3 linked regions of the Xenopus tropicalis genome follow. The protein of the gene in region 1 interacts with the protein of each later gene in a pairwise test. Links are inferred from orthologs where the notes say so. Each region holds a gene or a part of one and is shown on either strand. Other genes may lie near its edges. The genes, in order: lats2, map3k5 and rassf1.

What was found.
Region 2: the proteins of lats2 (region 1) and map3k5 come close enough for resonance energy transfer, tested with the Homo sapiens proteins (2 studies listed by BioGRID, with this or other methods). The link is inferred for Xenopus tropicalis from reciprocal best matches to the Homo sapiens genes LATS2 and MAP3K5.
Region 3: the proteins of lats2 (region 1) and rassf1 come close enough for resonance energy transfer, tested with the Homo sapiens proteins (2 studies listed by BioGRID). The link is inferred for Xenopus tropicalis from reciprocal best matches to the Homo sapiens genes LATS2 and RASSF1.

Annotation. Positions count from the first base shown.
Region 1 is NC_030678.2:157,780,641-157,784,905, reverse strand, and holds the start of lats2 (serine/threonine-protein kinase LATS2), read right to left. Parts: upstream 2,831-4,265; 5' UTR 2,763-2,830; intron 1,732-2,762; exon of another isoform or gene 1,411-1,731; intron 1-1,410. UniProt on the Homo sapiens protein: Negative regulator of YAP1 in the Hippo signaling pathway that plays a pivotal role in organ size control and tumor suppression by restricting proliferation and promoting apoptosis.
Region 2 is NC_030681.2:58,924,818-58,928,474, forward strand, and holds part of map3k5 (mitogen-activated protein kinase kinase kinase 5), read right to left. Parts: intron 3,315-3,657; coding exon 3,181-3,314; intron 3,001-3,180; coding exon 2,873-3,000; intron 1,899-2,872; coding exon 1,762-1,898; intron 1-1,761. UniProt on the Homo sapiens protein: Serine/threonine kinase which acts as an essential component of the MAP kinase signal transduction pathway. Plays an important role in the cascades of cellular responses evoked by changes in the environment.
Region 3 is NC_030680.2:127,213,985-127,216,756, forward strand, and holds part of rassf1 (ras association domain-containing protein 1), read right to left. Parts: intron 546-2,772; coding exon 441-545; intron 1-440. UniProt on the Homo sapiens protein: Potential tumor suppressor. Required for death receptor-dependent apoptosis. Mediates activation of STK3/MST2 and STK4/MST1 during Fas-induced apoptosis by preventing their dephosphorylation.

The sequences.
Region 1 (4,265 bases):
TTATGTTCAACCTGGAAAAAAAAGCAGCAGCCCTGCCATGCAGCTATCCTTCTCACTATTTAAAGGACCTTGCCCTTTGAGGCTGCACAAACAAAAAAACTTGTGTGGCACAACATGGTGCAAGAATACATATTGTAATGCAGAGATAGGGGGTTCTGCTTGGGAAAAAACTGTGACTGTGCTTCCAAAACTTGTCTCCAAGCCAGAGATTTTAAAATGGGCACTGGAGACTGGGAACAACAAAGGAGATGGTGAGCAATACCACTGGTTGGGCATCACTAACATAGATGGTGATATGCAGAGATAATTTGCAATTGGTCCTTTTTTTTTTGCTATTTACCTTTTTCTTCAGCAGCTTTCCAGATTTGAATTTTTAGAAGCTATCTGGTTGCTAGGCTCCAATTTGCCTTAGCAACCAGGCAGTGGTGTGAATGACAGAGTGGAAGAGGAAAGGCTAAAGCTGCCCATAATGCAGTGATATAAGCGTAAATGTAGTTTGATTTTTGGACTGTATGTGGGCTCCAAATGATCCCAATAATACCGAGGTGATCAGTCGTTTAGTCGATTGGACAGGTTAGAAAATGTTAGTGCTTGGGGTGTATGTGACGGCGCGCTTGGGGAGTATGTGACGGCGCGCTTGGGGTGTATGTGACGGCGCGCTTGGGGTGTATGTGACGGCGCGCTTGGGGTGTATGTGACGGCGCGCTTGGGGTGTATGTGACGGCGCGCTTGGGGTGTATGTGACGGCGCGCTTGGGGTGTATGTGACGGCGCGCTTGGGGTGTATGTGACGGCGCGCTTGGGGTGTATGTGACGGCGCGCTTGGGGTGTATGTGACGGCGCGCTTGGGGTGTATGTGACGGCGCGCTTGGGGGGGGGTCACTTTCCTACCATTGGTGTCTGACAACTATTTCATGTTCAGAAATTCCTCTGATTTGATATTTTTAGGGCTTTAACTTACAATTTCAGCCCTAACATTAGTTCGTTGCATTTAAACATACGATCGATATCTAAACGTTCATCAGAAGAAGGCTAAAATCTGAACTTGGATGGCCGGCTTCAAACAGAGATATAAGTACCAATAACGGTGTAGCCTCACAGAGCAACAGATATTTGTGGTTGCTAGGGTCTGAGACCCCTAACTAACTAACCCAAGCACATGGAGGCAGAGGGGTAAATAGTGTCAGAACTATAACAATTCACTATGAAGCCCAATGGAAAAGTTGCAAAGCACAGGGCATAGGGTAGGGAAGTGGTAGGGAGCCTTGGCGGGGGCTAGGGCCATGCTGTCACTGCTCCTGAGGGAACATTCGGGGTCGGACGCGCACGGACAATACGTGTCATTAGCTTGTTCCCCCGGACCCCAGCGCCCTCCCCCCAACACCCGCAGCTCTAGCACTAGTCAGTTTACCGGAGTTCCGCTCGGTGCAAGCCAACAGACGGTTCCGCTCTCCGCCCGTCCCCGCCGCCGCCGCCGATAGAATGTAGCGGGTTGGACTTGGGCGCCCGCCGCATTGTTTGCATTCCATTGCGGTCACGTGGGAGCCCCTGCCTGCGTCATCGACGTGGAGAAGCGGGGATTGGCCGGTGTGTGAGGGGGCGTGGCCCCGGGAATCCTTCGCTTTCCCTCTCTCCGGCCTGTGGCGCGATTAACTTGTTCTGTGCTGAGCTCTCAAAGTTACCACAGAGGCCGCCTGATGGCTGTGCGCTTTATCCTTCTACCATTCACCTCTACAGCACCATTCTGCCTTCTGTAACCCTTCCAACCCTCAGCTTTAGCGTCTTCACAGCCCATTTGCGCCAGCCCATCTATTAACGTGATACTGACACTGCTAGGGTTTCAATTACTGAGCAGCACAAGGAGTGGTTTGACCAGAGACTAATATGTTTATAGAAGATGGACCTAAACAGAAAAATAAGTAATAAAAAGTAACTGCTGGGGTCAGTGACCCCCATTTGAAAGTTAGAAAGAGTCAGAAGAAGGCACATCATTTAAAAAGTATAAAAAATAAATAAGGACCAATTGGAAAGCTAAAATTATAACTAACATACAGACAATGCTATGATAGATGTAAAAAGGGGTTAATTTTTTGGTGTCAGTATCTCTTTACCACCCCCAGCATCCTTAATTGAGTACATTAACCCTTTCTACCCCAATGCTGTCACACCTATCCATATGGACTGTAAACTATCATAATAGCTCCCTGTGGCTATCTTGTTATTGTAATGACGCGTCTCAGTGCCCTCTGAAAAAACAGGTTGCTATATGGCTTTGCTTAGTAACCCCCCCTCTCCCCTGCCAGCAGCTATAATATCACTCTATACACTGTTTGGACTAATTATATGACCCTCTAAGGCAGTGCTGTCTTATTACAAGTAGTGGGCCAATTATATCTGGTAGAGTCTATGTGAAGTGAAGTCTATGGAGCCTGGGGACCATAAAAATCCTTTGGAGCACCACATGCAGTGGTGTAACTACTCTGTGCTGCCCCCAACCCCCCTGCAAAAACCTTCAGAGGGGCCCAGTGCAGAGTAGTAAACTTACATAGGCTCCTTGGTCAGAGACTTTGTTACAAGGGGGTCATTGGTCAGAGAACCCACTAAGAGGCTATTTAGTCTTGTCTATGTGTGTTCTCTTTCCATCTCATGCCTAATGTGCTCACTATTTCCATTTAACAGGTATGTGAAAATCTGGTCTCATTTCTAAACATAAAGTCAAAGCTCAAAATTGAAATCCACAAAGGTATTTTGTTGAATACACACCCCTTTGTACTAGCCTCTGCCACCTCTCACTTGCCTTGAGGAGATAGTGCTTGCAGGCGTGTTTGCTTGCACGTGGAACTAACTTGCACCCAATTAATTAGTTACTTACATTTTTTATGCACTTACAAATGCCAAATGCATGAGAGTCAGGTGTTTCAATCAATGGGATGATAATCAGGTTTGAGCGTGGGATGCCCGGCGTTAATTACATAACGGAAATCCGGCTCCTCACTATCCAAGTCTGATCTTTGCAACAAAAGTTTGTAGAAGTCCTGCAAATCCGCCAATGCAAGAGACATGTATCATGGCTGAAACAAAAAAGATTTCTGAGGACCTCCAAAAATCACTTGTTATTGCTCAGGCTGGAAAAGGTTGAAAAACTAATTATAGAGAATTTGGACTCCATCAGTCAGGCAGGTCATGTACAAATGGTGGCAAACAAAAGTCACAACAACAGCAAGCATTTTGGGAGATCTAAAGAAATAAAAATGGCCTATAATGAACTAAAGTAGTCTCTGGCATTGGCCGATGTCAATATTCATGGGTCCACTATCAAAACAATGGTGTGCATGGCAGGGTTGCAAGGAGAAACCACTGCTATGCAAAAAGGAATTCTACCAGCAAATTTGAACCTAAAAACAAAGTCCACCAAAGAATGGATGAACAGAAGAAAGTTTATGTTTTGGAACAGCCAAGTCAAAGTCCTGATATTAATCCTGTAGAAATGTTGTGGAAAATTCGGAAGCAGGCAGTCTATGCGAGGAAGCCTGACAACATCCCTGAGTTGAGGTTGTTCTGATTTCAGGAATGGGCTAAAATTCCCAAAAACTGATTTGCAGGACTGATCATCAGCTCTCGGAAATATTTAGTGGTAGTCATTGCTGCCCAATGGGGGCACACCATTTATTAAAAACAAAGGTTCACATAGTTGTGCCCTACACAAAATGTAACATAGGGTCCTTTTTCTCAAGAGATAAATGAACACACATTATGTTTTTGACTAATTTGTTTAATGGGATTCTCATTATCTAGTATTAGGGCAAAATGGTTTGCAAAATTTCAGACACCACTGTATGGGCTATTGTAGTTCCTACACTTGTGTGCACTTGTACAATGCAGGTTAGTTAGTTGATAAGATATCCTACAAACTCTTGTTGTTTAACTATTTGCTGCCTGATGGGCGAAATGCTCTATATCTGCTACAGCTTGGCTATAAGGGAGTTGTTAACCTTGAGACTGTGTGTACATTGCCTCTGTAATGCTTGTGATAAGACATTGCTGAAGTTCCATTTCACTGCAGCTGTTGCAATCTTTTTGGTGACTGAAGGCTGACACGCATGGGCCAGTCGTTCAGTTTTGGGAAAGTCTGGTATTTGTTCTGAGGTATCACAATAAAGCAGGCACCTTCCATATGTGTGGGTCAGCTGAGATAATCTCTCATGTGTGAACAGAGAATAATCAACTCAGTTTGGTTGTTCTTTCTGTCCAAGGGGATGAAAATGT
Region 2 (3,657 bases), on another chromosome or scaffold:
ATTTATCAATATGCAATCTCAACTGCCAATTTTTCCAAAAATAGTTAAAGTCTAGACAAGTGCTTCTGGTACATATCCATATTACTAGTCTTGAGAAGGAATTCAGTACAGAACACCACTTAGAACCCTTGTCCAATTAGAGAATGTAACAATGACATATCTTCTCTGAACTTAATAGTTATCCAGTGCCTGATCCATCTGAATAACACTTCTAAGGTCAACAGACTTGAGTTTAGAAAGCAAACATTTTTGTGGTATTGTACTTAGAGGTTTTTAAAAATCCAAGATGACCACATCATGTGCAACATTCACTGACCGGCACATCATTAAAGCAAGTAAGAAAAGGTTGTTTGACATGATAATTAAGGCCCACTTTAAGACACAAAACACGTATGGCTGTTTCTTTGTATTTGACCATTTTAAAAATACAATGTATGCCCTTTTTTCTATAAAGAGTTCCAGTGTGTCTGTTTTTTTTTTAAATTCTGCTGGATATGTGCTCCCCAAACTGTAAGGTCTGGGGTATGTGCTAATAAACCTAACCATATCTAGTATAAACAAATCTAAAGCAACTGGACTTGTTAGGTAATCATTGAATTGATTACCTAACGAGTCCAGTTGCATTAGATTTATTTATACTAGATATACCATGACATGGATGAATGAAAATCTTCATAGACAAACCTAACCATGTTTTTGATAAGTTTACAGTTTAAAATGGAATTTATTGTTAAATAATAAGCTATATACAATACACAAGAGGCACAAGTTTAACAATAAATTACAAGTAAACCACAGAGTGGGGCACAAAGTATAGGGCATATGGTAAATAGGATGAAAATGGACACGTCAAAAGATTGACATGAAGCATTTGATGTAAAAGAGGCATAGTGTACACAACAAACACATGGTGAAAGGCAAAATTGCATGTGGTGAATATGGTTTCACATGGGTCATATAATATGAGGCTGTAAAAGATACTGGGACGGAAGGTGTACAGGTGCATAAGTTGCACATGTGACTGTGGGAAAGGTTCAAACAGGAAGGGCAAAAAAGTTTGAAAGTCAAAGGTGCACTAGGCAGCATATTGGATGTACAAAGGGCAAGAAAGCACACAGACATGATGGAAGGCAAAATTAGATATCTTGCACAGGCAGCAAAACTTTGAGGTAAAGGGTAGATACAACAGGTGTACATAGGTCACAGGATTTGGGGTTGAAATTTCTATAATAAAGCACAGAGTAGATGAGAGAAATGGTGTACATAGAATACAAAGTATAGGGGGCAAAGATGTACAGGGGGGAAGAGGGTGCACATGGCACACAGAATTCAAAATGTACACAAGGGTAGAAACAAAATATGCACATGAAAAATGGATACACAAAAGATTCATGCAGGATACACATGGTGCACAGGATACAGGAAGATGGTGTACAGAAATAATGGGAGCAAAAAGTGTACAGGGTGTGTGGCAAAGGTAATGCACGAGGCAGAGTATACATGGTTGAAAATTAAAACATGTTAAGGGGCAAAAGGGGTATAGAGTAGGAAGCAAAGAGCTGGTATTGAGGCACAGGGTATGCATGAAGGATTCACGTGGGGTAGTGTGTGGGTGTAAATGGGCACACAAAGGACAGCTATAGTACATGCCCAGGCCCAAGTCATTCTTAACAATAGAAAGCAATCTGTCACAACCGTCACAACTACCTACAGTTTTTCTCTTCACACAAGATATGATATTGCATACATAACTGCACATACCTTGATATCTCTATGAACTATCTGGTTATCATGGAGATATTTCAAACCTTCAAGGATCTGTTTGGTATAAAATCCGATTGTCTGCTCATTGTCTTTCAAGGGTCCCCATTTTGACCTTAGAAGTGCGGAGAGGCTTCCTGTAATTAACCAAATTAAGCTTTATAAGAAAGGTTTATGTAAATACAGCTATAAGCACTCATAGAAAAACTGCACGGAGTCCTCAATCAAAAGAAATACAGGATGTCTTGTCTTTTTTTTGTGTACACATGTTCTTCTGTGTCAGACTTTCTCTTTTAGAAAAATCCTTCATTCCTGGGGCCGGAATCTGTGCAGTTCACTCCTCTCTCCCTTCTCCTGCTCCCCCTTCCAACAAGAATTCATAAGAACTACTCCCCCCCCCCCCCCCCAATCAGAATGTGTGATCTGAGTTACCAAGGCTAGAGCTTAAGTTAAAGAAATTAAAAAAAAGATTCCTTATTCAAACAATCGTGGTGGGACATATTCACGTCAATGTACATCCACACCTAGACATGAAAAAATAAAAAATTGCTTTGGTTATTATTTCTTATTGTGTTTGGAGAGAATGGCATGTATTCAGTGTAACCAAGGTCATTCCTACAAAGGCATTTTGTGGCATTGTCTTGGTATTTTCAGGGAAATGTTGATATGGACCTTTAGTTAATAGAAACTACAAGCATGAGCTACAGATGTACAGAATTTACTACACAGGTAATAGCCATTAAGATTAAGGGGCATATTTATTATAGTATGTAAGCTAACATCACCCGTGATGTTGCCCATAGCAACCAATAATCAATTCGATTTTAACAGTCACCTGCAAGTTAGAAATTTATGGCAGAGGTGAAGTATGTGGATTTAAACCAATGCAAATGTTATAACAATTATAAACTAGTAAAAGGGGTACAAAACTTGGACCTTCTAGAAATGAAAAGGACAAATACAGCTTGATGTGTAATTACTTATTTTTTATACATTGACATCTGTGGAGAAAGACAAAAAAGGAACTGAACCAACAACATATCTTGATAGCCAAGAAAGAGTTAACAGTATTAATGGGTAAGTTTTTAAGAAAGGGTGTAAAAAAACATACCTCCAGGTACTTGTTCCATAAATATTTTAATGAAACCACCTTTACTGAATGATCCCAAATACTGAACAATGTTTTTATGCTTTAGACGTTTATGCAAAGCAATCTCTTCATGAAGTGGTTGAGAGCATCTAAAGAGAATAATTAGAACTTTTTGAATAACTGTCCATGAAAGATGGGCATATAAAGGAATATTTAAAAGTAGTCAAATATAGTAGCCTTTTTGAAATATACACAATACATACACACACATATACAATATATATATTTAAACAGTCAGCTGGCTCACATATACAAAATCCTGTACTTACCGACCATCTCTCTCTGGAACTTCTTTAATTGCAATTCTGACCTGGTTACTCAAGTCTCTTCCTGCATATACCACTCCATGTTTCCCTTTACCGAGAACCACTCTGTCCCCATTTTCATCATACTCATAGTCGAACTGAAAAAAAAGTCATTGTTAAAGCAGACATATTGTATGAAAAACAAGTATGTGCCAGTGCATTACACTATTCTAAATGTTGAAGGAATGTGGTTTAAAAAGTTGTGTTTCGGACTTAAATTCCCCCAAAACCCTACTAGTCACACCCATCTGTGCCACTTCTTGCTGCCTCCTTTGCCAGGCTTTGCAGGGGAGTTGGCAGCACTCAGCACAATGCACTGTACGATAGGAACCAATGAGCAGCTAGGTCGACCTGAAAGGGAACTGAAATCTGTCTTTGCTTGTGACTGCAAGGCTTCGATCTCCCTCATGTTTCGGTATACAGAGTGATTTATGTGTTTCA
Region 3 (2,772 bases), on another chromosome or scaffold:
CTATAGCCACACAGCCATGTCATGGCTTATCTTTGTCAGTTATATGTTAACAAAGACTAATGCGACCTGCTCAGTTATATTATTTGCCAATCCATTCTTCTCCCAGTCACCAGTCTGTCAAGGTATAATCTTCTCTTAGTAGCCATACAATATGTGTCACAAGTGATTCTGTAATGGAAAGGGTTTCCCTTCGTCACACATACGGTCACACAGAGAGAGGGGCTCAAGGTACATAAATTATAATGGGGTCATAGTGAACAAAGGGAGGCAACATCTTGGAGGGGCTTACGGAGCACTCAAACTACAAAACGTGACTGGTGAAAGCCAATAAATGTGAGGGCCAAGTAATACAATATTCCTGCCCTGAGTGCTTACTGAATTCACACATACCAGCATCACAGACAGGAGAGGATTCTGTCTGTGCATTACTCATAACGTACCAGACTCATGAAGAGATTGCTCTTTATCTGAGAATTATAAGCCTTTATTTTCTGTTCTAGCTCTGCCTTGCTCAGGGCCTGCGGCTGCTTTTCTGGCTTTTCGTCCTGTAAGAAAAAGAAACCACATATTACATAAACCATTTAATGTTGAAAACCTTAAGCTTAAGGATTAGGGAGGGTCAAAAGTCAGAAAAACTGATTTCAATAGAGCAGCACCTTCCCCACAACACAAATCTACCTGCAAATGGAGAGGCAGCACAGCCTTGCACTACAGGCAGGCAAATAGCTGTGCTGCAGTGAGCGAAGGAGCCCAACGGAATTTCCATTAAAAAGGTAGTTAACTTGTAGTATGTTACAGAATGGTCCTTTCTTGGAAACTTTTCAGTTAGTCTTCATTTTTTATTTGTTAAAGTTTTTGAATGATTTGACTTTCTCTTTTTCCAGCTTTCCAATGGGGGCCACTGATGCCAACAGCAATTGCTCTGTGAGGCTACAATTTTATTGTTATTGTTACTTTCTATGACTTGTCTTTCTATTTAGGCTCTTCCCTATTCATATTTCTGTCTCTCCTCTAAACCACTGCCTGGCTACCAGGTTAAATTGGACCCCAGCAACCAGATAGCTCCTGAATTTCCAAACTGGAGAGCTGCTGAACAAAAAGCTAAATAAATCAAAAACTGAAAATAATAAAAAATGAAAACCAATTCCAAATTGTCTCAAAATAGCACTCTCTGCATGATACTAAAAGTTAATTTAAAGGTGAACAACCTCTTTAAGCCAGCAGTGATATCCTGGGGGCTCATCTGCTACCCTTTACTAGAACAAAAACAGAAGCAACAAACATCTAATAGGGTCAGAAGAAATGCCTTTAGGTCACAAAGAACAAACTGAAAAGGATAATTTACAAAGACAGTTCCAATTGTACCAGAACAGTAACCCATAGCAACCAGACAATGTATTATTCTAACTGCACTAGACTGACTGGTTGCTGTGGATCAGTGCTCTAGAACAATTCCGAACTGATACCAGTAAATAAAAACTACAAATTGATGAAAAAAAAAGTGATAGAAGACATTGTGTAATACTGTTTAAAACAGAGCAGAATTGGAAAAATCTTGAAAAATAATCACTTTTGGCACCAAAACGCAGATGTTCATTTCCTGTTTCTCATGTGACTCAGCTTCCTTTCTAGTTAGTAATACGTCTTTTCTTAAGGTGCCATACACAGGCAGATTTGAACTGCAGATTCGAGTCCTTTAGACCGATTTGGCAGCATATCTGGGGACCCCCGACAGCCCTTCCCGATCAATATCTGGTTAAAAATTGGCCAGGTGTTGATCGGCAAAGTTTGATTTTTTAGACAGACTGGGGACTGCGTTGGCTCATTGATGTGTTCCTCGCTCCGACTGCTCCTATCTCTGGCCTATAGCCAAACAATCTAATTAGCCCAATATCACCCACCTTAGGTGGGCATATTGGGGAAAGATCCCCTTGTTTGGCAAGATCTTGTAATCTATGGCCACGTTGAAAGCTCAGAGCAATCAGGGCGCTAGACATCAGGCAGGTTTTGTTACTCTTTACCCAAAAGCCCCTGTGGGGCTGCTGTGAGTTGCCACAGATTGGTGCTTAGTATTGGGCTTGTGTGGGGCTGTTTGGACCTTTCTGCCCATGAAATGCCATGGCCCATTTTGTACCTCAGCCCAGAAGTGGCAGTGGCCTATAGGATGAATGTTAAAATACACTCAAAAAGGAGTAAGATCCATCTGCCTCAGTCAGACAAAGGGCCTGCATGTATATTGCAACAATCTTGCTCTCTCTAATATATAAACTAGCCCTAGGCATGCCTAATGAAAACATCTGGCTCCAAGCAGACCCTGTAGAAGCTGTGGGTGCATTACTGGCTCATTAATTCTGCCTTGTAAAACCACATCCAGAGGCAAATAACTATCCTACAAAGGCACTAAAGACAAAATGGAGCTGTGACTTCCTCTTTGCACTTATTCCTGTAATCGGTTTGTCTATGATGTCCTCCTCCTGTCTCCCTCCCCTCCCTCCCTAAATCTCCCAGTTTAGTCAGCGTTGCATCAGGCTGGTACTGGAAAGGTGGGGAGCGAAGGGGAGGAAAGAGGCTGGAGAAGGGCTCATCCGGTACTTTATGAGAAGCCTGCTCCTACCCAGACCTGCAGGGTTTGGGATAAGGTGGGGAGTGTTCTTGTTCCAAGTCCTGGGAACAGCAAGTCCCGGAAGGCCGAGAGGAAGGAAATGCGGCACACACCCTGTGCATGAAGGATCTCTGTGTGCAACTTGCACACTGCTTTTGTGTTTCACTGCC